Linked DNA regions of Callithrix jacchus. The protein of the gene in region 5 binds, or shares a complex with, the protein of the main gene of each other region. Links are inferred from orthologs where the notes say so. Each region holds a gene or a part of one and is shown on either strand. Other genes may lie near its edges.

The links. Proteins that work in one complex are often made in the same cells at the same time.
Region 1: POLR2F (region 5) and GTF2F1 share a complex: the UniProt entries of both Homo sapiens proteins name them as parts of the TBP-based Pol II pre-initiation complex. The link is inferred for Callithrix jacchus from reciprocal best matches to the Homo sapiens genes POLR2F and GTF2F1.
Region 2: POLR2F (region 5) and GTF2A1 share a complex: the UniProt entries of both Homo sapiens proteins name them as parts of the TBP-based Pol II pre-initiation complex. The link is inferred for Callithrix jacchus from reciprocal best matches to the Homo sapiens genes POLR2F and GTF2A1.
Region 3: POLR2F (region 5) and GTF2H4 share a complex: the UniProt entries of both Homo sapiens proteins name them as parts of the TBP-based Pol II pre-initiation complex. The link is inferred for Callithrix jacchus from reciprocal best matches to the Homo sapiens genes POLR2F and GTF2H4.
Region 4: POLR2F (region 5) and POLR1C share a complex: the UniProt entries of both Homo sapiens proteins name them as parts of the pol I pre-initiation complex. The link is inferred for Callithrix jacchus from reciprocal best matches to the Homo sapiens genes POLR2F and POLR1C.

The regions. Positions count from the first base shown.
Region 1 is NC_133523.1:6,031,106-6,035,873, reverse strand, and holds the start of GTF2F1 (general transcription factor IIF subunit 1), read left to right. Parts: upstream 1-1,871; 5' UTR 1,872-2,025; coding exon 2,026-2,037; intron 2,038-2,121; coding exon 2,122-2,168; intron 2,169-2,978; coding exon 2,979-3,051; intron 3,052-4,768. UniProt on the Homo sapiens protein: TFIIF is a general transcription initiation factor that binds to RNA polymerase II and helps to recruit it to the initiation complex in collaboration with TFIIB. It promotes transcription elongation.
Region 2 is NC_133509.1:116,182,174-116,186,742, reverse strand, and holds the start of GTF2A1 (transcription initiation factor IIA subunit 1), read left to right. Parts: upstream 1-1,672; 5' UTR 1,673-2,113; coding exon 2,114-2,143; intron 2,144-3,075; exon of another isoform or gene 3,076-3,149; intron 3,150-3,919; exon of another isoform or gene 3,920-4,103; intron 4,104-4,569. UniProt on the Homo sapiens protein: TFIIA is a component of the transcription machinery of RNA polymerase II and plays an important role in transcriptional activation. TFIIA in a complex with TBP mediates transcriptional activity.
Region 3 is NC_133505.1:35,701,655-35,706,288, forward strand, and holds the start of GTF2H4 (general transcription factor IIH subunit 4), read left to right. Parts: upstream 1-1,737; 5' UTR 1,738-1,927; coding exon 1,928-1,939; exon of another isoform or gene 1,940-2,077; intron 2,078-2,547; coding exon 2,548-2,687; intron 2,688-2,946; coding exon 2,947-3,051; intron 3,052-3,434; coding exon 3,435-3,566; intron 3,567-4,164; coding exon 4,165-4,261; intron 4,262-4,335; coding exon 4,336-4,424; intron 4,425-4,634. UniProt on the Homo sapiens protein: Component of the general transcription and DNA repair factor IIH (TFIIH) core complex, which is involved in general and transcription-coupled nucleotide excision repair (NER) of damaged DNA and, when complexed to CAK, in RNA transcription by RNA polymerase II.
Region 4 is NC_133505.1:51,998,068-52,002,838, forward strand, and holds the start of POLR1C (DNA-directed RNA polymerases I and III subunit RPAC1), read left to right. Parts: upstream 1-1,874; 5' UTR 1,875-1,897; coding exon 1,898-1,966; intron 1,967-2,093; coding exon 2,094-2,165; intron 2,166-4,105; coding exon 4,106-4,213; intron 4,214-4,488; coding exon 4,489-4,621; intron 4,622-4,771. Other genes in the region: protein YIPF3, read right to left, coding at 391-497, 669-878, 1,512-1,592. UniProt on the Homo sapiens protein: DNA-dependent RNA polymerase catalyzes the transcription of DNA into RNA using the four ribonucleoside triphosphates as substrates.
Region 5 is NC_133502.1:208,954,907-208,959,597, reverse strand, and holds the start of POLR2F (DNA-directed RNA polymerases I, II, and III subunit RPABC2), read right to left. Parts: upstream 3,230-4,691; 5' UTR 3,075-3,229; coding exon 3,013-3,074; intron 170-3,012; coding exon 100-169; intron 1-99. Other genes in the region: C1H22orf23 (UPF0193 protein EVG1), read left to right, coding at 4,035-4,134. UniProt on the Homo sapiens protein: DNA-dependent RNA polymerase catalyzes the transcription of DNA into RNA using the four ribonucleoside triphosphates as substrates.

The DNA of each region.
Region 1 (4,768 bases), on a different chromosome or scaffold from region 5:
AGACAATTAAGCCCCGGATGTCTGTGGGCCTCCCTGACAGCCGTCAGGCCCACCACAAGAGCTTGGAGGAGCCGAGTTTTCTCCTGACTCCCCAGAGGAAGGAGACATCTTGACCATCTTGAACGTCTCCTTTCCTGGCTGGCTAAACAGCAGGCGCTTTCCCAGCGCCCTCCACCCACCCTTACATGGGCCTGACAGACAGAAAAGCATTAGTAAAAGAACTAAGATCACCTATGAATAACTAAGATCACCTATGAATAACAACTATTGTTATATTCCTTTTTTTTTTTTTTGAGACAGAGTTTCGCTCTTGTTACCCAGGCTGGAGTGCAATGGCGCGATCTTGGCTCACCGCAACCTCCGCCTCCTGGGTTCAGGCAATTCTGCCTCAGCCTCCCGAGTAGCTGGGATTACAGGCACGCGCCACCATGCCCAGCTAATTTTTTGTATTTTTAGTAGAGACGGGGTTTCACCCTGTTGACCAGGATGGTCTCGATCTCTTGACCTCGTGATCCACCCGCCTCGGCCTCCCAAAGTGCTGGGATTACAGGCGTGAGCCACGCGCCCGGCCGGGAATATAAATTAATGACATTTCTGAGGCTTCTGACTCCCCAGAACTTATGGGGTCTACCCCCTACACTAACCCACTACAGGAATTAAAAAGTTTACACCCCAGACTACTTCTGCCTCTCTCACTCCTACATTCCGAGGAGTTGGCAGTTCTTGACATTTAGTGGATGAGGAATAAATGAAACCAGACATGTCTTGTTCCCCTTCCCTCTGCGTAGCCTACAACTCCTATGCATCCCTCAGTGGCCAACTGAAACCTCCCGTCTTCTCTGAGCCCTCAGAGCCCCGCTGTGCTTCTCCTGCTCCTTCCTGGGTTGTAGATTCCCATTTTATGAGTCTCCGCCACGACACTGTAACCCGCAGAGGACAGAGAGCTGGTTTGATATATTCACCTGGCGGAGCCCGGAACCCAGCAGCGTGCTTGAGTATTTCCGAACTAGAGCAATGAATGGTTGTGCTGTGAGCATGCGCAATTGTGTTACTGCCAGGCTTGAGGGGTGTGTGCACGCCTGGAATGGGGTAGGGGAACTTGCACCTCCCTCCCGTCCTCTGCAGCCTCCTTCCCTTCCCCCCAGTAAGCCAGCCAGCCACCCCCACGACGTTACTCTTCTCCGGGGGCCTCAGAGCCCTGCCCATTTGGGGCAGCTTGGACTTGCAGAGACCCATCCCGCCAGCAGCCCTTGGGGTGGTCGCGCCCCGATTCCGGGCAGGCTCTGACCCCTCCTGGCTCGGCTCAACGTCACAAGGGTCCCCGCTCCGGTCATTTTGCGGGAATGACGGGGTCCACCCCTTCTGGGCAGGTAGAGGAAACGAACCCCAAACAGGCCCATAGGGAGCCAAGCGGCAGTTCGACTGGACCCGAGTAGGCCTCAGTTGCTATGGTGACGCGGCCTTCCAAGCCCCAAAGTCCCGAGCGGCATGACGCATGCGCAAAGCGCCTGGGAGCCCGCAAGGAGGACTAGCTTCCTTCTTCCCACCCAGGATGCCCTGCGGTCCTTGGGTGCTGACGTCACGAAGGAGGGCGGTCCCACATTTGATGACCGCACTGTACATAGGAGCATCAGCGACCAAGGCCGGTTATTTGATCTCAGACTCGGCCTTGTTGCGTCTGAAAAGGGGCAGGGGTGGCTCTTTTGAGGTGGCCATAGACGCCGAGGAACATAAGTGACGGCGCATTGAGGTAGCCACAGCCGCTTAGAAGGTTGCCATCGCGACGCGGCCGCTGGAGGGTTTAGCTTCCGGGTTAGGCGGCCGCGGAGGCGTAGACGGAATAACCTGAACGCCTCTTCCGGTTACCCTTTCCCAGTGCCAGAGGCGCCTAGGGTAGGAATCCTCACACGGGGACCGGAACAGAGACCCGACAAGGAACGGCGGCTTCCCCGAGATCGAGGGACGCGCTAGCCAGAGGAGAAGAAAGGAACCCGGGTCGGACCACGGAACCACTGACCATTGCCCATGGCGGCCCTAGTGAGTGTGGATTTGGCGGGGTTCGGGGGTCCCGGCGGCGACCTCGGCGGCACCTTACTCACCGTCCGCTTCCTCTTTCCGCAGGGCCCCAGCAGCCAGAATGTCACTGAATACGTCGTTCGAGTTCCGAAGTAAATCCCCTACCCCATCTCCCACTCCTCTCCACCCCGCAAAAGTGAAAACCTTTACGGTCCTCTTAGCCTGACGTTTCTGGCCCTGTCTGTGGTTCTCCCTCCAGACCGGGGGACTTGGAGGGCAGGGCTGCGATTAAGCTGAGGCTTCTCTGGAGGCAAACACTGCTTTTTGTATGAATGAGTGCATTAATACACAGCACGATTCAGCCTCCTGGCCTAACGTTCGAGAGCATATGATGCCCAGGCTGTCTCGTCCTCTTTCAAAGCGAGCAGGCTGCCTTTCCTTTCCAGGCCTTTGTACATCCCGTTCCCTCTGCCATGAGTGCCTCCCCTCAGCCCCCAAACGGTGACTCTGTTGGGTGAATTCTTGTTGATTCTGCAAAACTCAGCTCCAGTATCATCTTCCTCCAGGAAGCACTCCCTGACTGACCTCCCTCCTCCCCAAGGCTGAGTTCCCAATAATCTCCACATCTTGGGTTTCTCCCAATCTTTGTTCCTCCATTTGTTCTTCGTCTGCACGCAGTTAAGAGGGGATGGGGTCTAGCTTCTCTGGCAGACTGGGATTCCTGCAGTCTTCCGTATCCAGTGTTGACAGGCAAAACAGACTGAATGAACCAGGGTGGGTTTGTTGAGTGACTGAATTAATGATTCAGTGGAATGGAATGCTTGAATTAATGGTTCAGTTGAATGGAACGATCGAATTAATGATTTGATTGAATTAATGATGTGTTCACATTGATTGATTAAATTAATGATTGAATTGAATTGATGTATTGGATTGGCTCTATCTCTTCTAATCCACTCTAGGAATACAACCAAAAAATATAACATCATGGCTTTTAATGCAGCTGATAAAGTCAACTTTGCCACGTGGAATCAGGTAAGTCCCTGGGTCCTGGGGGTCGGGGGCTGGGGTGGTGAGAGAACCTGACCCTGACCTTGGTGGTTGTAATAGTTGCTTAGCTGTCATAGTAACTAAGTCTTAATTTTCTCACTTTTCCCAAGTGGAGATAAGGTAGATGACAAAGAGTTGGGTGCAGTAGTTTGTACCTGTAATCTTAGCACTTGGGAGGCCAAGGCAGGAGGCTTGCCTAAGGCCAGGAGTTCAAGACCAGCCTGGGCAATATAGCAAGACCCTATCTCTACCAAAAATAAAATAATTAGCTGGATGTGGTAGTGTGCATCTGTAGTCCTGCACAGGAGGCTGAGGTAGGAGGATCACTTGACCCCAGGAGTTGAAGGCTGCAGTGAGCTATGATTACACTACTGCACTCCAGCCTGGTGACAGAGTAAGACCTGTCTCAAAAAAAAAAAAAAAAAAAAAAAAAGATGGCAAAGGCCCAGGCCAAGCTCCTGGGTGTCCCTGTAAGTTACGTTTAGTAGGACCACAGGAGGCCATTCCTTAATGGAGAACATTTAGAAGTTGTGCCCACTGATGGCCATTTTTGCCAAGGTTTATCTGGCTGAGGGAGGGGACTGGGCTAGGGCCTTCCCCAGAGCCCCTGCCATCAGAGGCTCTAGAAAGGACTGTGGGAGCCATTAAAGCATCCTCCACGGGGAAGTTGTATTGTGATCTGGCTGCTGTGGGGAGGCAAACTGTGGGTTTGAGGGCGGATAAAGGGAGAACAGGGTGGAAGCAACTGGGCTGACTGGTCTAGGTGAGTCCTGGCCTGGGGATGTGGAGGCCGTGAAGGTGATGAGATGTGGCTGGATTCTAGAGTGTTTTGGAAATGGTACATATGGACCTTGAAGCAAGAGCTTAAGGGTAATTGGGACCTTATTGGCCACATAGGTCATGATTAATGGTTACATTTTAGAGATTTTGGTGTCTTACTGTCAACAAGTTTGGCACAATGAATTTCTTTTTATTTATTTAAATTTATTTTTTTGTGATGGTGTTTCACTTTTGTTGCCCAGGATGGAGTGCAATGGCACGACCTCAGCTCACTGCAACCTTCAACTCCCAGGTTCAAGCCATTCTCTTGCCTTAGTCTCTCATGTAGCTGGGATTACAGGTGCCCACCCCCACTCCCACCTAATTTTTGTATTTTTGGTAGAGATGGGGTTACACCATGTTGGTCAGACTGGTCTCGAACTCCTGACCTCAGGTGATCCACCCACCTTGGCCTCTGAAAGTGCTGGGATTACAGGTGTGAGCCACTGTGCCTGACCTTTTTATTTTCTTTCTTTCTTTTTTTCTTTTTTTTTTTGAGACGGAGTTTTGCTCTTGTTACCCAGGCTGGAGTGCAGCGCGATCTCGGCTCACCGCAACCTCCGCCTCCTGGGTTCAGGCAATTCTCCTGCCTCAGCCTCATGAGTAGCTGGGATTACAGGCACGTGCCACCGTGCCCAGCTAATTTTTTGCATTTTTAGTAGAGACGGGGTTTCACCATGTTGACCAGGATGGTCTCAATCTCTTGACCTCGTGATCCACCCGCCTCGGCCTCCCAAAGTGCTGGGATTACAGGCTTGAGCCACCGCGCCCGGTCGCTTTATTTTCTTTCTTTATTTTTTTGAGATGGAGTCTTGCTCTGTTGCCCAGGCTAGAGTGAAGTGGTGTGATCTGTGCTCACTGCAACCTCTGCCTCCTGGGTTCA
Region 2 (4,569 bases), on a different chromosome or scaffold from region 5:
TCAACCTTAATTGATGGCAAAACTACTCAACCATTTATCAAGAATACGAAGTGGTAGGGGAGAAAACTAAGTGGAAGGTGAGGGATTCCATGTACAAAGCGTTTGGGAGTATGTATATAGGGAGGTAACAAGAAGTCCTCTCAATATGCAGTAAAATTTACCAGGAATGGTATTGTTTAGTGTAACTTTACAATTGGGCTATCACCTGAATATTAAATAAATCACAAATGTTGATTGAATCACAATTTTACATTGCTAAGAACACTGATTTCCTGTGATTTTTTTTCTTTAAGTGTTCCAGACCATGCAGCTGTGCAGGTAACTGGAAGTAATTGTTAAGAGGGGAATGGATTTGGTGTGAAAATAAATCTCAAGGTTCATAGATATTCTCCACACCCATTGATAATCTCCCATTTTCTGCGTATTAAAGGCCCCTGCTTTCTCTAATCCCTTTCTTCAGGTGTTGGCAGGCTGCATTTTTTTTTTTTTTTTCTCTTTGGTAAGATGCCTTTGACATTCTTCAAATCTGGTTTCACCAGCAAAGAACTTTTCGTTTTGCTCTGTCTTTGGAAGACAAACTCCTTCACTCATCCAGATGACATTTCAGGTCCCTCAAAATTCCAGGGGCTCCGTTCTGCTTGTAATGTTGATATAAAGGCAGGATTTGTTTGGACAGAGGAGGTCAAAAGCTTATTGGATTGCACTTCAAGACACGGGCACAGCCGCCGTGCTCTCTTATAACTAGAGGCCAAGCGATTTGGGTCAAGGGCATGTGTTTCAATGTGATCAGTCACTACACGTTGGCCATGCGGAGTAGTGGGATTTTGGCAGTATTTTTTAAAACCAGGGAAAGTTATTGTGCTGTTATAATCCAAAGGCTGGTGGGGTTGTCTCCCCTACTCCCCGCACCGCATTTCCACCACCGTGACAAATTATTTAAAGTACGTGGGCTAGTAGGGAACTAATCTCTGGGTAACCTAAGTAAGCCTGGTCTTCGTAGCGGACCCAGTGTGGAAACAAACCAAGTCAGAGGTTAGTAACTCTGGAATGTGAAAGTGGGCCCCAATCGGCTTTTACTCCCATTGGGAAATTCTACATAATTCTGCCCGCGAAAGACCCACCCTCGGCGAGGAGCGAACGCTCCGAGGCTCACAGTCAAAGCCTCGCTGACAAATCAAGAGATGACTCCGCATTTAAAACCGTCCCGAATCGGAACCCGCCAGAGGCCGGAAGCCGCACCACGTGACCAGTTCTCCGCGGCCATTCCTAGCGAGGCAGTCGCTACCGCTTGTCTCATTTCCTAGCTCCTCCAGCGCGGGACCGGGCGGAAACGTGCGACAGGAGGCGGTCCCACCTAGCTTTGGACTGGAATGTCACTAGAACTCGCGCCTTTTCCAGAAACGCTTTGCAAGTACTTCACCGCAAAGAACTGCGGCAGACTTCCGCCTGGGTGCCAACCACGTGATCACGCGAGAGTTGGAGAGGCGTAGGTCCGACTTCACTACTTCACTACCCAAGCTCCGCCAGTCGAGCACCCCCACCGCGCGTGACGACGCGGCTCGCGGCGGCCTCCGCCCCGACGCGCCTGCGCACGCGGCTCTCGCGGTGTCTCGCGCTCAGCCCCGCCCACCTCTGCCCCCGCCCTTTCCACCCCTCCCTCCCCCATCACCCTGTCTCTCAGCGGCGGCGGCGGCGGCGGCGGTTCGCGCAGCTTGTTGGCTCGCTATATAAAGGAGAGAAGCGAGCGGACCGGACGGCTGGAGCTGCAGCCGGTGGCAGCAGCGGCGGCGCAGGGAGCGGTGACCGGTGGTGGTTTCCCTCCTTGGCGCGGGGTGGGGAGCGGGCAACGCCCCCGGACCCCTTAAGGGTCGTGGATTTTTTTTTAAAAAGACGATTCTCGAGGTTTTTAGCTGCGGGAGGAGTGCCCCCCTCCTCCTCCTCCTCCTCCTCTCCGCTCTCCCCTACTCCTTCAGGATTGATTTTGTTTAAGTTTTTTTCCCCAATCTTGCGGTGACTTGGGTCACCCTCGGGTGTTTTAGTATTTTTTTTTTTTGGTTTTGTTTTTATCTTGTTTTCTTGGGGTTGCCCCCTCTTGTTTGTGTTGTGTGTGGAAATGGCGAACTCGGCAAATACAAACACCGTGGTAAGGACGTGGTTCGGTGGCCGGCGGGGGCTTCGTTCAGGCGGCAGCAACGGCCGGACCGGGCGGGGGCGGGGACGGCGGCGACTCCCGGCCTCGACTCTTCAGCCGCCCGCGCGGCCGCCGCCGCTGCCGCCGCCGCTTCCCGCCTCGGGCGGATCGGGCCGGGGCGGCGGGCGGCGGGCGCGGGGGGGCGCCGAGGGCTCGCGGCTCGGGGAGGGCGGGGGCGCCGGCGGGGCCTGGGGCCGCCGCGGGCCGGGTCGGGCCGCGGAGGCGGTTGGGCCCGGGCGGGCGCGCAGCCCCGGCCCCAGAACCCGGCCCCCGGGAGGGAGGGCGTGAGGGGAGCCGCCGCTTCCCCCCGAGGGGCCCGTCCGCGCTGGCTAGACGATGGCTCCCCGAGCGGCTTAAGAACAAAAACCGTGTCTGGGGAATCGGGCGAACCCCTGAGACCCACCGTGATCCACTTTAATGCAGTGGAGGATTAATGGCTACTTTTGGGGGTTACTTAGGTTTTTTCCTGGCAGTTGTGCTTTGGGAACCTTCACTGGGGCCATTTTATGTTTAAAAAAAGGACTAAGGTTGTTTGAAAAGCACTTATCTCAGTTCCTTCCGAATGGGTAAAATGGCGAAGGGGAAGCAACCCCCCCCCCATCGTATCTTCGACTAGCAAAAGCACCAAAACAAACAAAAAAAGCCTACAGTGGTCCAAGTGTCCCTGCTTTCGCCTTGAAATTTGCCTACTTCTTCCCGTTGGTCCCTTTTTGGTTATTTGCGATCACGTAGGTTTGCAAAAAGCAGTCACATAAATAACCTTTTCAGTCACCAACGCAATGTGATCACTAGTCCCCCCAACTCTTATTTTTATATGACAATAAAACACGTTTTTGCCCGGTCCCAAATGCCGCAGACTAGCCCGCGGCCGCCCGACACCGTACCGTTGGCGACTCGGGTCGATCCATCATGGCTGCGGCCGCTTACCCTGCTTTTCAGTCCCTGAGCTTTGTGGTCCTCCTCCCTTTGGCTGCCCTGTTTATATAGAGCCATTGCCGCTCTCTAATATAGACTCTGCCAGGATGGGTAGGTGCTTTTCAGGCCTACGTCACCGCCTCTCCATTTAAACACCAGATCCGGCTTTAAATAGTGAGAGCTGCTGAGAGCGGGGCTGGGAGGTGCGTGCTCCCGAGGCGAGAGCCAGGCGCGTGCGGAGCTCAGTTTATTTGTAGGTCCTTTTTTCACGCTGTAATTTCGCGCCTGTCGGGGGCTGCTTTCAGAGCCCCAAGTTTTTGTTTTGTTCCTAGCAGCAGCTAGGAATTACCTTCTTTTGTTTGTTAGGGGAAATATATCCGAATCGCTGTCCGTTTTTATTTACAATTTTCAAAATATGAAAACAAAGAATTTTTGATCAGATAGTCTAGTGATTTTCCTGTGTGCATTATTTTCAGGAATTAAAAAAACTGCTTTCTACAAAGTGTTAGCTGCAGAGGACTTGGTTTTTGTTGTATTTTGTTCAAATATTCAGGAAACAGGTTAGAAATACAGCTCCTAATATTTCATTATGTTTTTCTATAGTAAATCTAAAAGACACGAGGCCTTTCAGAGAAATAGATAAGTGCCTGAAGCTTCAGAATAGGACCATTTATGTGTAGGGGAATCGTGAGTAATTAGAGGGAAGAGACTTAGTGCAAACTGGATTTTAAAAAACTGTTAAGTAGAACTTTATCGCCTTGGATATTATTAACACAGTATCCAGTATAAAAATTATTTCAATTTATTTTTCAGCATTGCATCAGGGAATTAACATTTTTGAAGGAAACCTCCTAAGAAATCACTTAATAATGCCACTAGTGGCCCTCTGATAAACCAGTTTTCAAGTTTGAAATACCTGTCTTTTTAAAAATCAGGACAAACCTAAACTATTTCGTGAGAAACGGAAACTTTGACTCAATAGAGTGAAGAATTTTAGGTACTAGTTTATAAATTGCTTATTTCAAATAATGCCTATGTGCCCACATAGTTTTCAAAAATTCGTGTCTTGAGTGCTTTTCAAATTGTGAACAATTCTAAATTATTCATTGGGCATATACTTTGTGAAGCATACACGTTTCCCTTCTTTAAACTATAGTGCTTATGAAGCTGTTAAGTGATCAAGTTGTGAGTTCATTAAGGCACAAAAATAAAATCTTAAAGAATGATTCATTAAGTAGAGGAGTACCAGAAGAAAGCAAATTTATACCTATATATCTCTGGATCTCCAAGCAAAAGGTTTTTAGAGGTAACTGATTTGAGGAACACCACACCATCTAGTTTACTGAAAAGCATTATGTATTGTCAATTTGAGATTTATGCTCCCAATTTAAAATACATTGCCCTTCTAATGCCTTGAGGAGTCATTATTGATTAAAAAACAAAACACTATAGAGATACTTTTG
Region 3 (4,634 bases), on a different chromosome or scaffold from region 5:
ATTGACTGCTAAAAAGTCAGGGACAACAGAAAACATGGATAGGCTATAAAATATACCAAAGTCGTACACAGCCATTACCATTTTGATCCCTAGTCTCTTGCAAATGTGCTTCAAATTTCAGCTTGGGCCCTTTCTCTCTGAGTGTAGGTATTTTCTTTTTTTTTAAGAGATGGGGGTCTCAGGCTGGGCACAGTGGCTCATGCCTATAATCCCAGCACTTTGGGAGGCTGAGGCAGGTGGATCACCTGAGGTCAGGAGTTGAGACCACCAGTCTGGCCAACATGGTGAAAACCCATCTCTACTAAAAATACAAAAATCAGCTGGGTGTGGTGGTGCATGCCTGTAGTCCCAGCTACTCAGGAGGCTGAGGCAGGAGAATAGCTTGAACCCTGGAGGCCGAGGTTGCATTGAGCCCAGATTGTGCCACTGCATTCCAGCCTGGGCAACAGAGTGAGAGACTCCTTTTCAGAGAGAGAGAGAGAGAGTGAGAGAAAGATGGGGGTCTCACCCTGTCGCCTAGGCTGGCGCAATCATAGCTCACTGTAGCCTCCAGCTCCTAGTCTCAGGTGATCCTCCCGCCTCAGCCTCCCGAGTAGCTGAGTAGTCATGACTCTGAGCCACCTCACCAGGCTGCAGGCCAATTCTTAATCTTGCCAGGCTCCGGTCTTCCAGTCTATAAAGTGGGAATAATGGAATTTGCTTATAGAAATTTGGGGAAATGTGTAGTTCTGGCTTTGGGTGAAGACCTCTGTCTTTCTCTGTAGCAGGTTCATAAATCAAATCAGAGCAAACAGCTGATGTCTTAAAAACTGTATTTATCAGGGTCTTCTAAGAAAACGGTTTTAGGCATGGTAGAGGCAGAAATTAAGAATTATTGAGTATTTAGGGCCAAGTAAGGCGCACTGGATGGTGTTGTTAACTTGTGGAAACCGTCCAGAATGTGTATACTTTCTTCTCTTTCTCTTTCTTTCTTTCTTTCTTTTTCTTTCTTTCTCTTTCTTTCTTTCTTTCTTTTCTTTCTTTCTTTCTTCTTTTTTTTTGACTTTAGCTTTTGTCGCCCAGACTGGAGTGTAATGGCACGATTTCGGCTCACTGCAACCTCCGCCTCTAAGGTTCAAGCGATTCTCCTGCCTCAGCTTCCTGAGTAGCTGGGATTAAAGGCGCCCGCCACCACACCCGGCTAATTTTTGTATTTTTAGTAAAGACAGACTTTCACAATGTTGTAAAGGCTGGTCTCGAACTCCTGACCTCGGGTGATTTGCCTGTCTCGGCCTCCCAAAGTGCTGGGATTACAGGCGTGAGTCACCGCGCCCGTCCCGGAGTGTGTATTATCTCAATTTTACGGGGAGTAATTGTGCTCACGGAATCCAGTTTTGTGGCCCCTACCCCCTAAACGGCTCACCACTAAGTCGCCATGGCGCGCCTCCGCCAAGAAGCCCTCCAGGAACTTCTATTTTCCCCGGACCCGCCTCCTGTTCAGGCCGGTTAGACGCGCCGTTAGCAGCGTGGGCGGAGTTGCTTCTGCCTTCGCGGAACCAACTGGCCTGACTTCTGGTATCTCCCGCTCTCTAAATTAAAAGCCAGCTCCTCTCCTTTTGGCTTCCCAACGGTGCCTTTCGGGATTTGTAGTCAGACGCGCTTCAGCCGGCTCCAAGGAGAGCAAAGACAAGACTCCAATTCCCAGCATACCCCGCGCCGGGAGAGTGCAGCGCCTATTCTCATCCTCTTCACTCTTCCACTCCTTCCCTTACCTCCCTTCTCTTCTGAATTCTCCATTCTAGGCTCTTGTCTGTGAAATCTTTTGTCGCTTTCCCCATCTTTCCCTGGCATTTTTTTTTTTAACCATCTTTCCCTCAATCTCCGGGAGCCAATGAGAGACTTTGGCTCCGATTAAGCGACTGCCCGAGACTCGGGGTGCACGAGGAGGATGGACAGAGTGGTGAGGGGACCTAGGAGGGTGGGAGTGGCATAGCTGTGAGAGAGAGAGAGGTGAGTGAGAGGCGAGGTGTGGGAGGAAGGCAGGGAGAATCTAGGAGATCGGAAGGCGTGGGTCAGCGTGAATGGGAAGGGAAAAGAGGTGACTTCAGATTTGGGAAGCGTGAAGGGGAGAGGTTATCGTCATAGCAGAAGTGGGCTAAGAGATAGACGATAGGGAGGACGGGCAGATTTGGAGCTTATTGACTGATCTGGACCAGGAGAGATGGAAGAGAGAGGTGTGGGCTCAATTTTCTTTGTCCCTGTTTAGCCAAAGATGAGACAAGTCATTGAATACAAAATTATCTTGCAAACATAGGACAGTTAGCAAGTCTGTCACTTGGTAATTGAGGGAAGACTGGAGTTGAAGGGCAGAAGTAGGGTGAGGAGACCAGAAACGGAGAGAGATTGGTCAGATTTGGAAGAAACTAGAGATAAGTGACAGGGGAAAGTAAGCCACAGAAAAGGTGGGATTATTGTGGGGGCTCATGGATCTGGAATCAGAGTTAGAAAGGTCAGGGGTGACACTGGCATGGATGGTGGGGGTGTGCCTCTGACGTTTGCATTCCTCAGGTGATGGAGAGCACCCCTTCAAGGGGACTGAACCGAGTACACCTACAATGCAGGAATTTACAAGAATTCTTAGGGGGCCTGAGCCCTGGGGTATTGGACCGATTGTATGGGCACCCTGCCACTTGTCTGGCTGTCTTCAGGTGAGGAGCCCCATGGCAAGGAAATGTAATGGGGTCTGCAGATTGGAAATAAATATCATGAGTAAAAGCATAGCAGTCTGGATTGGGGGTGGGGACTGGGGGTGAGGGTTGAAAATTGCTCCAAAGTGTGGAAGGCCAAAATAGCAGGACTGGTAAAGCTGTGGTGGAGTGAGATGAGATGTTTGAGAGGTAATTGAGGGCAGAGATGCAGATACAGTGCAGCTTCTGAAATTAACCTTTGACCTCTATCCCTATACAGGGAGCTCCCATCCTTGGCTAAGAACTGGGTGATGCGGATGCTCTTTCTGGAGCAGCCTTTGCCACAAGCTGCTGTAGCCCTGTGGGTGAAGAAGGAATTCAGCAAGTAAGTCTCAGCCAGATACAGATTTCTCAACAGCAACATTTCCCAAACTGCTGTTTCTTGGAGCACTTCCAGGAAATATTAATAGATCACAAAATTTAAAAATAAATACATTTAGGAAATGCTGCATACTGCGTTTTCCCTTTTATTTATTTCCCAGCTGACTTCTTGTTTTCAAATGTATCTTCCCTCTTAGTTATGTGTGTTATCAGCAATGAGGCTCTGATAGGTAATGCAGTAAAGGCATTTGTCTTAAGATACTGATTTCACTCTGTGAAACAGTAGTTCAAAGATCAGCAAGTTCAGAACAGGCAGGAATGGTAACTTTTATGGGCCTTCTCTTTGTTCTCCAGACACCCCCTCTCATCTCTTTGCTTCTATTCCAGGGCTCAGGAGGAAAGTACAGGGCTGCTGAGTGGCCTCCGGATCTGGCACACCCAGCTGCTCCCAGGCGGGCTCCAGGGCCTTATCCTCAACCCCATTTTCCGTCAGAACCTCCGCATTGCCCTTCTGGGTGGGTATGTCACTTCTATCTCTTCCTAAGCTAGGGAAGGGAAACTGCTGCTAATTAAACTGCTATTAAACTTTGGGAGGGGGAGCTTATGGGGGCCTCCCTGGAACCTTGTGGTCTCTACCTTGGGGAGCTCCTTTAGGAATAAGTTGGACCAGATGTAGCTGTGTTGTGTAGGCAATGTCCCCCAGTCATGGCCCCTGAGGATAAGGGTGGAAAGATGGCAGAAGGACAGCAAGGAACACAGACAGAGTTCCTTACTCTTTTTTTGTTTTGTTTTGTTTCTTTTTGAGATAGAGTCTTGCTCTGTCACCCAGGCTGGAGTGCAGTGTCACAATCTTGGCTCACTGCAATCTCCACCTTCTGGGTTCAAGATATTCTCCTGCCTCAGCCTCCTGAGTAGCTGGGATTACAGGCACCCACCACCATGCCTGGCTAATTTTTTGTATTTTTAGTAGAGATGGGGCTTCACCATGTTGGCCAGGCTGGTCTCGAACTCCTGACCTCAGTGATCTGCCTCCTCGGCCTCCCAAAGTACATGGATTACAGGTGTGAGCCACCGTGCCTGGTCAGAGGTCCTTACTCTTGGCCCATCCTGGCTCTAGGGGGAAGGCCTGGTCTGATGACACAAGTCAGCTGGGACCAGACAAGCATGCCCGGGATGTTCCCTCCCTTGACAAGTACGCTGAAGAGCGATGGGAGGTAAGCACTTGGGACTTAGCTTCTACCTCCTATGGCCCTCGGGGCATGGTCTCCCTGTTCTTTCTGTTCTTCAGGTGGTCTTGCACTTCATGGTGGGCTCCCCCAGTGCAGCTGTTAGCCAGGACTTGGCTCAGCTCCTCAGCCAAGCTGGGCTCATGAAGAGGTAAGGAAGTTAGAGGTACAGCAGTTTGCTGCTGTGCCATCTCCTTGAGTCTCTGAGAAATGGTATCTCGGGTTGGTCAAGATCAGAGGACATCGTCTGGAAAAAGCAAGCTGAGTAGAATATAGCCAGAGATACCCAGAAAAAACATGAGTGGACAAGTGGGTATAGTAGCCTTTCTCTGCATATCACCATCATCGTCCTGCTCTTTGT
Region 4 (4,771 bases), on a different chromosome or scaffold from region 5:
TTCTGGTGCTGGGAATAAAAAGATAAACAAGATAGAGCCTGCTCTGGGGGGAAAATTCCAGCAATATGAAAGGATGGCAGTGCTGAAGTGCTGTCTGTTGGAGGCAAGTGTTCTATAGGAATACCAGGAGAGAACAAACTGGGGATGGGATTGAGGAATGTGGAATAGGGGAAGTGACATCTGAGGTAGGTTTTGAGGGAAGATGAGTAGTCGGCTAGATGGAAAAGAGGAGGAAGGCGCTGTGTTATGATTATTTGTGTTCAATGACAGGTGCAGTGATGAGAGGTGATGAGGTCACGAAGAGGGGGAGCCCACCAGAGCACAGGGCTTGTAGAGTGCATGAAGGAGTAGGTATTAGGAGGGAAGCTTCTTCAAGAGAAGGCTCCTCACCTGCTTCGCACCTGGGCAGGCTCCACATCAAAGTAGGGTCTCAGGATGTCGATGTTGGCATACAAGCTGAAGGCCCTGGAGGCTTGTCTCTTCCCAGCCTGCCACATCTGAAGGAAGATGGGCATAGGTATTGTGGAACTCTTGGCATTAGACCCTGTTGCCTATTTTCCATTTGATTTCTACCAGGACAACCTGGGGCGACACACCAATACCAACTCCAGGACATGGGACACACCTAGGTTTACTTTTCCACCTGCAGGGGATTCCATCTTGCTTACCTGATCAGCCACCTGCCGGCTCAGCTGTCCCTTAAAGCCCTTCATGCCCAGGAACTCTCCATCCTCTTCTTCAGCAGCAGCCGCATCAGCGTCTGCATCAGCGTCTACTTCTTCCTCGCGCAGGCGCTGATGCAGTTCACCCATATCCTCGAAGCTAGAGCCTGAGGTATCATCCATGTTCTCCATGTCAATCACAGCTGAGCCTCCGCCCTGTTAAGACAATGGCTCCTAGAGTGCAGGACTTTTCTGTTCCATCCATTAAGTCCTCTGCTCATCCCAGGGCTTAGGGCTTTGTTCTTCCACTGCTGAGGATACGGCTTGGAATCACTACAGATCATGCCACTCCATTCCCCCTCATTTGCTCTCAGAACGCTTGATTTATAGCTTTGGCTATCTTTTCTAGCCTGGGAAACCAACTAGTCTTCCATTCATGTCTTTCTCCTACCTTACCTATCAAAGACTAAAAGCTTGAAAAAGAATCCATTTCTGTCTTTCCAAAGCCCCAAACAAAACTATGAACACAGTATGTTTTCGGCGAGTGCCAGTGAATCCCACCCAACCCCACTCCAGGCCTGACCCCAACCAACCTCCTAACTTGTTCCAAGAATACGTTCTTCCTAACGCCTCGGGCGGGCCCAGAGACCCGAGATCCTCAGGCTGGAGTAGTAGACTAGTCTGGCCCTTTCAGGTCAATGTTAACTCCACTGACTTTTGTGTGCAAGACCCAAAGAAGGCAGTTTTGCAAATGGAGTGAACTTCCAGGCCCCGAGGGAGAATCCCCAAGACACTTCTGGACATCGCCGGCCCTCGGGTTGCTGGCATCTGGTGCCTTGGGGCCATTACCTGGATGTTTTCTTCGAACCCTCCCCATTCCGGGCCAGCTCCGTTTCGGGCGCCGCCCGTCGGCGCCGCTGTAGTTGCCATGCCCTTTGAGGGCTCCCGTCGCTGAAGCCCGCGATAGCCCCGCGCGCAGGGAAGTGTGCGAGATGTGAGTCCCAAGAAGGGAGAGGTCCCAGGTCGCGGAGAGGTGGGATCAGCCGGAACACAAAAAGGAGAAACCCGGATGTTTGGACAAAACCAACTTCCGGAAATTGGGGACGTGGATGAAGGTGGAGCAAAGTCTCGCGATATTTAAGATTCCAGGAGGCGGTGCGTTGCCACGGAGATGGAGCAGTGCTGCTAGAACGCACGCGCCAGCTAGAGCCTGTAGTCTTTTGGAGAGATTGAACATGGCGGCTACTCAGGCCGTGGAAGAAATGCGGAGCCGCGTGGTTCTAGGAGAGTTTGGGGTTCGCAATGTAAGACTTGTGTCCTTGAGCTCAGGCGGGAGGAATGAGAGCGGAACAGGGATGGGTCTTGGGATTGGCGTGGGGATAGCCGTAGGCTCACTGTCCATTTGTGGACAAACTCATCCCTTTGCTCTAGGTCCATACCACTGACTTTCCCGGTAACTATTCCGGTTATGATGATGCCTGGGACCAGGAACGCTTCGAGAAGGTCAGTGGGGCCAGAGTTGTCCGGGGATTGTTAGGAGGGCCAGACCCTGTGGTCTCAGCAGCATGTGTCTGTCTCAGTAGCTGCTCTTGGGGGTCGCTCCGTTTGTAAGTTTTGTTGAGCAATGTGGTAGACCTCCGTTTACAGGCCAAGTTAGACACAGTTTCTACCCAGTTCTGCAAACAAGATGTTCAGTCTTGTTGAGGAATGGTGCGTATAAACAAGTGAATCTAGTTTAATATGGTAAAGGTGGTTGATAGCTGTGAAGATGGCAGGATTCGTGTGGGGAACATTATGCTGAGACCAGGAAGAGGGGCCCAGAGGTACTTAACATTTCTTGAGGAGGGAAGATCTGAATTGAGCTTTGAACGGTAAGTAAAGAACAGGAGTTAAATTAGGAAGGCTTTGAGTTTCAGGTCAGTGAAGTTGAGGATATACAGGTTTTGTGTGTATTTAGTCTATTATTGTTTCACTTAGCTTAAAATAAGGATTAAAATTGCATTTAAATAGATCACTGAATGTTACTGTTTATGCAACTGAACTGTGTGTGCAGTTTATAAAACATGATCTATAAATCTGTGCTTGGGAAAATTTTACTTTTTTTAACCTGTTGATACAGGAATAAAGTATGAACAATGAAAAAGGCTAATGCTTGAAAAAAAGTTATGGTGTGAATTGTGCTCCGGGAATGTCCAAGCAGTTCTGGCACTAGTGGTAGGCAAGATTGAAGTGTGTCTTGGGCACTGTTGATGATAGGGAGCTTGAATAGTTAAGCAGACATGATTAGATTTGCAACCCTGATAGCTGGGAGGGAATGAGTTTGAAGAGGATCGTATGGAGCAGGCAGATCTGTTGTAAGGGAAGCTGAGGTTGAAGGTATGAACTAAGACTGACGGTAGAAAGAGAGCAAAGGAAGAAAGAAGGTAAATTTGTGATTGCTTTGGTAAAGGCTGTTGGGGTAGCATAAAATGACTTTTTGACTTGGGAACTGCTTTGATGCATTGTGGTATCATTTACTGAGAGAAGAAATGGGTCTGGGGAAGAGGAATGATGATACGTCGTTTCCTGCATTTGGAGAAATCTAGCAGGCTAGAAGACTGCATATTTGAAATGAGATCAGAAGGGAGGTAAAATTTTGGGAGGTGTCAGCACAGATAGTTGCTAAAACCGTTGTTAGTGTGGTTAAGGTCACCTGGGAGAGAGACCAGAACCTGGTAGATTTAGAGATGGGTGGACGTTGTTGATCATCAGAGAAGGAAGAATGGAGCTCAGAAGCCAGGAGAATAGTTCAAAAAAGGAGGGGATTTTTTTTTTTTTTTTTTGAGATGGAGTCTCTGTTGCTCAGGCTGGAGTGCAGTGGCAGGATATCAGCTCACTGCAACCTCTGCCTCTTGGATTCAGGCAGCTCTCCTGTCTCAGCCTCCTGAGTAGCTGGTATTACAGGTGCACACCACCATGGCCGGCTAGTTTTTTGTATTTCTAGTAAAGATGAGGTTTCACCATGCCAGTCTCGAACTCCTGACCTCGTGATCCAACCACCTTGGCCTTCCAAAATGCTGGGATTACAGGCATGAGCCATTGCGCCTTTCCAGGAGGGGATTTTTTTAATCAATGCCAGGCGTAACAGACGTCTAGTAAAAGGACTGTCTAGTGTCAGCATGACTAAGCAGTGAGGTGGGTTTCTGTTCTTAGGACAATAGCTTCTGTGGATGGTTTGGTTGGGAGCCATATTGGATAGGGTTTTAATGAATGGAAGACAAAAAATGGACACTTTTCATGAACCTAAAGCAAGCACTGGACGAGAAAGAACATTTAATAAGGGACGTCTGGGCAAAGGGTGGTTTTTGGATGAGTGGATAATACTTGGAATCATCTGAGGGGGAGGTATGAAGAGCTATTACAAAGAGAGCAGGCTTCACTTAATCTTTTTCCTGTCCCTCTAGAATTTCCGTGTGGATGTGGTACACATGGATGAAAACTCACTGGAGTTTGACATGGTGGGAATTGATGCATCCATTGCCAATGCTTTTCGACGAATTCTGTTAGCTGAGGTATTGGCAGGCATGGTGACAAGGTTGGATTTGCTTTGGGAACTGCACTGACACTTGGAGTGTCACTTGGAGAATTAAGTGTCTCAAGCTGTCCTTCCCTTCTTATTTTTCCTGGAGTTTTGCTGGCTAAGGATTTTACCTTCTCATTCTTTGTAAACTTCTCATTAAACATTCTAGGAAGAGAGATAGCTCCCTACCTCTGGAGGTTGGAGTTTGTGGGGATAGGTAGGGGGTCTATTGGGTTTTTGCTGATAAGTGATTTTTTCCTTGGGCAGGTGCCAACTATGGCTGTGGAGAAGGTCCTGGTGTACAACAACACATCTATTGTTCAGGATGAGATCCTTGCTCACCGTCTGGGGCTCATTCCCATTCATGCTGACCCCCGTCTTTTTGAGTATCGGAACCAAGGTGAGAAAATGAAATTTTGGGAGAAGTGGACTGTCTGGGTTTAAATCCTGGTTGACTGTGACATTGGGTAAGTATATTAGTGTTTTTCATCTGTGAGAACACTTGCCCTCTCTTCCCAAGTTTGCCAAGATAATTAAATGGGAAATATGT
Region 5 (4,691 bases):
GAACACAAACAGAAGGCAGATACATTCAGGTTACTGTCACCTGCCAGACTGTTTGGCAGCTTGGGCTGCAGAGGTGGGAGCCTGAGGCTGAATACTGACCTCTTCGGCATTCTCCAAGTCATCTAGCCCTTCATCCTCTTCCACGTCATCAAAGTCGTCACCATCAAAACTGTACAGGAAGAATAAATCAGTTAGTTAGAGCATCACTTACCAGAAACAAAGAGGGGCCGACCATGGTGGCTCACACCTGTAATCTTGGTACTTTGGGGGATGGAAATGGGTGGATCACTTGAGGCCAGGAGTTTGAGACCAGCCTAGCCAACATGGTGAAACCCCATCTCTACTAAGAATAGAAAAATTAGCTGGGCATGGTGGCCCATGCCTGTAATACCAGCTACTCAGGAGGCTGAGGCACGAGAATTGTTTGAACCCAGAAGGCGGAGGTTGCAGTGACCCAAGATCGTACCACTGCACTCCAGCCTGGGTAAAAGAACAAGAACCTGTCTCAAAAAAAAAAAAAAAAATCAATAAGTGCAAAGATATATGTCTCGCCCACTATATAGGAAGCACTCAATAAATATCTACTTAATAAGGATCAGCCGGGCATGGTGGCTCACACCTATAACCCCAGCACTTTGGGAGGCTGAGGCAGGTGGATCACTTGAGGTCAAGAGTTCGAGACCAGCCTAGCCAACATGGAAAAATCCCATCTCTGCTAAAAATACCAAAAATGGGCTGGGCGCGGTAGCTCAAGCCTGTAATCCCAGCACTTTGGGAGGCCAAGGTGGGTGGATCACGAAGTCAAGAGATCGAGACCATCCTGGTCAACATGGTGAAACCCCGTCTCTACTAAAAAAATACAAAAAATTAGCTGGGCATAGTGGCGGGTGCCTGTAATCCCAGCTACTCAGGAGGCTGCGGCAGGAGAATTGCCTGAACCCAGAAGGCGGAGGTTGCAGTGAGCCGAGATCTCGCCATTGCACTCCAGCCTGGGTAACAAGAGCGAAACTCCGTCTCAAAAAAAAAAAAACAAAACAAAACAAAAATGAGCCAGGTGTGGTTGGTGCCTGTAATGCCAGCTACTCAGGAGGCTGAGGCACGAGAATCACTTGAACCTGGGAGGCAGAGCTTGCAATGAGCTGAGGTCACACCATTGCACTCCAACTTGGGCAACAGAGTGACACTCCTTCTCAAAATAATAATAATAATAAGTAAATCAGACTTTTGTTCCATTTTACTCCTTCAATCTTTCCCCATCTGCCCCCAGATTTTGTTAGGACTCATTCATCATCGCTGTTTGCCTCTCTACTGGATCATTCTCATCAGCCTTTTTTTTATTTTTTTTTTAAGACAGAGTCTTACTCTGTCACCCAAGCTGGAGTGAAGTGGCGCAATCTCGGCTCACTGCAACCTCCGCCTCCTGGGTTCAAGCAATCCTCCTGTCTCAGCCCCCCGCGTAGCTGGGATTACAGGCATACACCACCATGCCCAGGTAATTTTTGTTTTGAGACGGAGTTTCGCTCTTGTTACCCAGTCTGGAGTGTAATGGTGCGATCTCGGCTCACTGCAACCTCCACCTCCTGGGTTCAGGCAATTCTCCTGCCTCAGCCCCCCGCGTAGCTGGGATTACAGGCATACACCACCATGCCCAGCTAATTTTTTGTATTTTTAGTAGAGACGGGGTTTCACCATGTTGACCAGGATGGTCTCCATCTCTTGACCTCGTGATCCACCTGCCTCAGCCTCCCAAAGTGCTGGGATTACAGGCTTGAGCCACCGCACCCGGCCAATTTTTGTATTTTTAGTAACGAAAGGGTTTCACCATGTTGACCAAGCTGGTCTTGAACTCCTAACCTCAGGTGATCCACCCTCCTTGGCCTCCCAAAGTGTTGGGATTAAAGGTGTGAGCCACCACTCGGCCCATCAGTATTTCAACATGTGCTTTTCCTCAACTAAAAAAAAAAAAAAAAACCCTTCCTTCTCTTCTCCCTCCCCCTACAGCCCTAATTCCATAGTGCCCTTTGAAGCAAAAATAAGTGAAAGAGCTGTCCCTCACTGTCTACAATTCCTCTCTTCCCATCCTGTCATAATCCCACTCCAAAAAGCCTTTCACACCAAGAGCTCCATCAAAACCCCTCTTCCCAAGTTCATTAATGATCTCCACGTTGCTAAATCCAATGGCCAATTCTCAATCTCATTTAGCCTGATCTACCAGCTGACACATTAGGCCACTCGCTCTCCTCACTTGACTCCAACGACACCTCACTCTCTTGGTGTTCCCCCACCTCCCTGGCTTCTCTTTTCCTCCAAGCACTCAACGTTTGAATGCCCGAACGCTCAGCCACGGGTCATCTCCTTTTCTCTACTGACACTGAGAATGTTGTAGCAATCCCACACGTTTCTTATTTTTATCTTCACACTAAATCTCTTTGTGCCCACACATCCAACAGGTAATTTTTTTGGCTCTACTTTTAAAATAATAATATATCCAGAATTCAAAACCACTTCTCACCACCTCTGCTCCTACCACCCTACCACAAGCTACTGACTTTCACCTAGATTACTGCAACCAGGCCGGGCACAGTGGCTCACACCTGTAATCCCAGCACTTTGGGAAGCTGAGACGGGTGGATCACTTGAGGTCAGGAGTTCGAGACCAGTCTGGCCAGCATGGTGAAACCCCATCTCTGCTAAAAACAAAACAGCCAGATGTGGTGGCACATGCCTGTAATCCCAGCTACTCGGGAGGCTGAGGCAAGAGAATCCCTCCTTGAACCTGGGCGGCAGAGGCTGCAGTGAGCTGAGATCGCGCCACTGCACTACAGAGCCTGGGCGACAGAGCAAGACTCCGTCTAAAAAAAAAATAAAAATAAGATTACTGCAACCAACCCTTCCAGACTTGTATTTAATGCCACCGGTGGAGCTGCCCCAGACCCTTCTCTGGAGAACTCCTATATTACATACTTCTAGAACTGGAGAAGCTCACGCGACTCCCATGACCTGTTTACTTACTTATGGGCCTGTGCCCCCTGTTCTAGAAAGCGAGCACGTGGAGGGCAGGGACGATTCCTCATTCACCTCAATATTCCCATGACACAGAGCCCGGCTCACCGAAAGACACCTTTCCTACGGATCCTATCCGGACCCTCGAGCCAGGAGCTTCCCGTGCCCGGTCTCCGGTCGGGCCGATGCTCCTGGGTCCCCGCCCTTTCCTTCCCCGGCACCGCCTGCCCCCTCAGGCCGCCAATCCCCTCAGACGTTGCCCCTCGACGCCAGGCTCCTCAGCCGCCTTCGACCCACGCCTTGCCTCATCTGCCCCTTCTGAGGTTGCCGCAAAGGCCACTTGGCTCTCGCACTCACTTGTCCTCGTTGTCTGACATGACACCCTAGTCTCTGCGACGCCGCTGCTCCCCAGTGCCGCGCGGAGACCCGCAAACGGCTCCACTACGACTCGCGCGGCGCCACGATTATCCTGCGCTTGCGCGGTAACCCAGAGGCATCACTTCCGGGAGGCAGGACGGCGCGAGAGAGAAAGGGCGCATGCGTTGACTCGTGGGCGCGTTACCATGGTAGCCACGGTAGCCACAGTTGTTAGTTGCCAGCTCTAGCAGCCCAGATCGCGTAGGATTTCTACGTGGCACCGGTGCGGCTGCGGCTGTAAAGCAGTGGTCACCGCCTCCGAGAGCTCACCTCTATGTGGAGAAGGGAGCACCCAGAGGAGGTCTTAGGGTGAAATTTCAATTTTGGCATATCTCTCAGTGGGTACTGTTCTGATCTGGCTATGTTAACACTGCCTTCCTCCCGAGGGGACTTCCCTGCCACAGGCGCTGGGTCAGAATGAGGACTCTGTGTGTGTATCTGTCTGTGTCCGGATGGGAGGTTTGGGCACTGTCTCGATATTAAATGGCGGCATCACGATTCTCTGGCTGGATCCCCGCTTCCAGACTTCTAGGGTGGTGGGCGTGGGGAAGAGGAAATTAGGGATAGGAGACAGAGGGTGTGTCTTTGCATCCTTCCCTCCTCAGGGTCCTTGCATGGCTTCACAGAAGATAGAAGTAGTGACCAAAGCAACGGGGTTCCGGCGCCGCCCCAAGAAGACCACTTACACCCCGGGGACCTGCGAGCTGCTCGAAGGTCAGTGCTTTAAAGCAGCGATCCCCAGCCTTTTTGGCACCAGGGACCGCTGTCGTGGAAGACAAGAACGGTTTCGGGATGAAACTGTTCCACCTCAGATCATCAGGCATTCCTTAGATTCTCATAAGGAGCCTGCAACCTAGATCCCACGCGTGCGCAGTTCACAATAGGGTTCACGCTCCTATGAGAATCTAAGGCTGCCACTGACCTGAAAGGAGGCGGTGACGCTCGCTAGCCCGCTGCTCACCTCCTGCTGTGCGGCCCTGTTCCTAACAGGCCAGGGACTGGTGTCAGTCCAGGAACGGGGGACGGGGCAGGTGGGGGACGGGTGGAAACCCGAGTTAAAGGATGAGAAAAGAATGATGGTAGTTACCCTCTGTAACTCAGTTCTCCCCTACCTGACCTGTGGCTTAGCAATTATTGCTATTTTCCTTTACAGATAAGGAGCCTGGGGTTCAGGAAGCTTCCAAGTTCTACTGCATATACCTTAGTGGGCAGGAGCGGGGGAGGGAGGGAAGGTTCAAGGTGCTACAGCTTGCCAAAAGTCAACTAACATT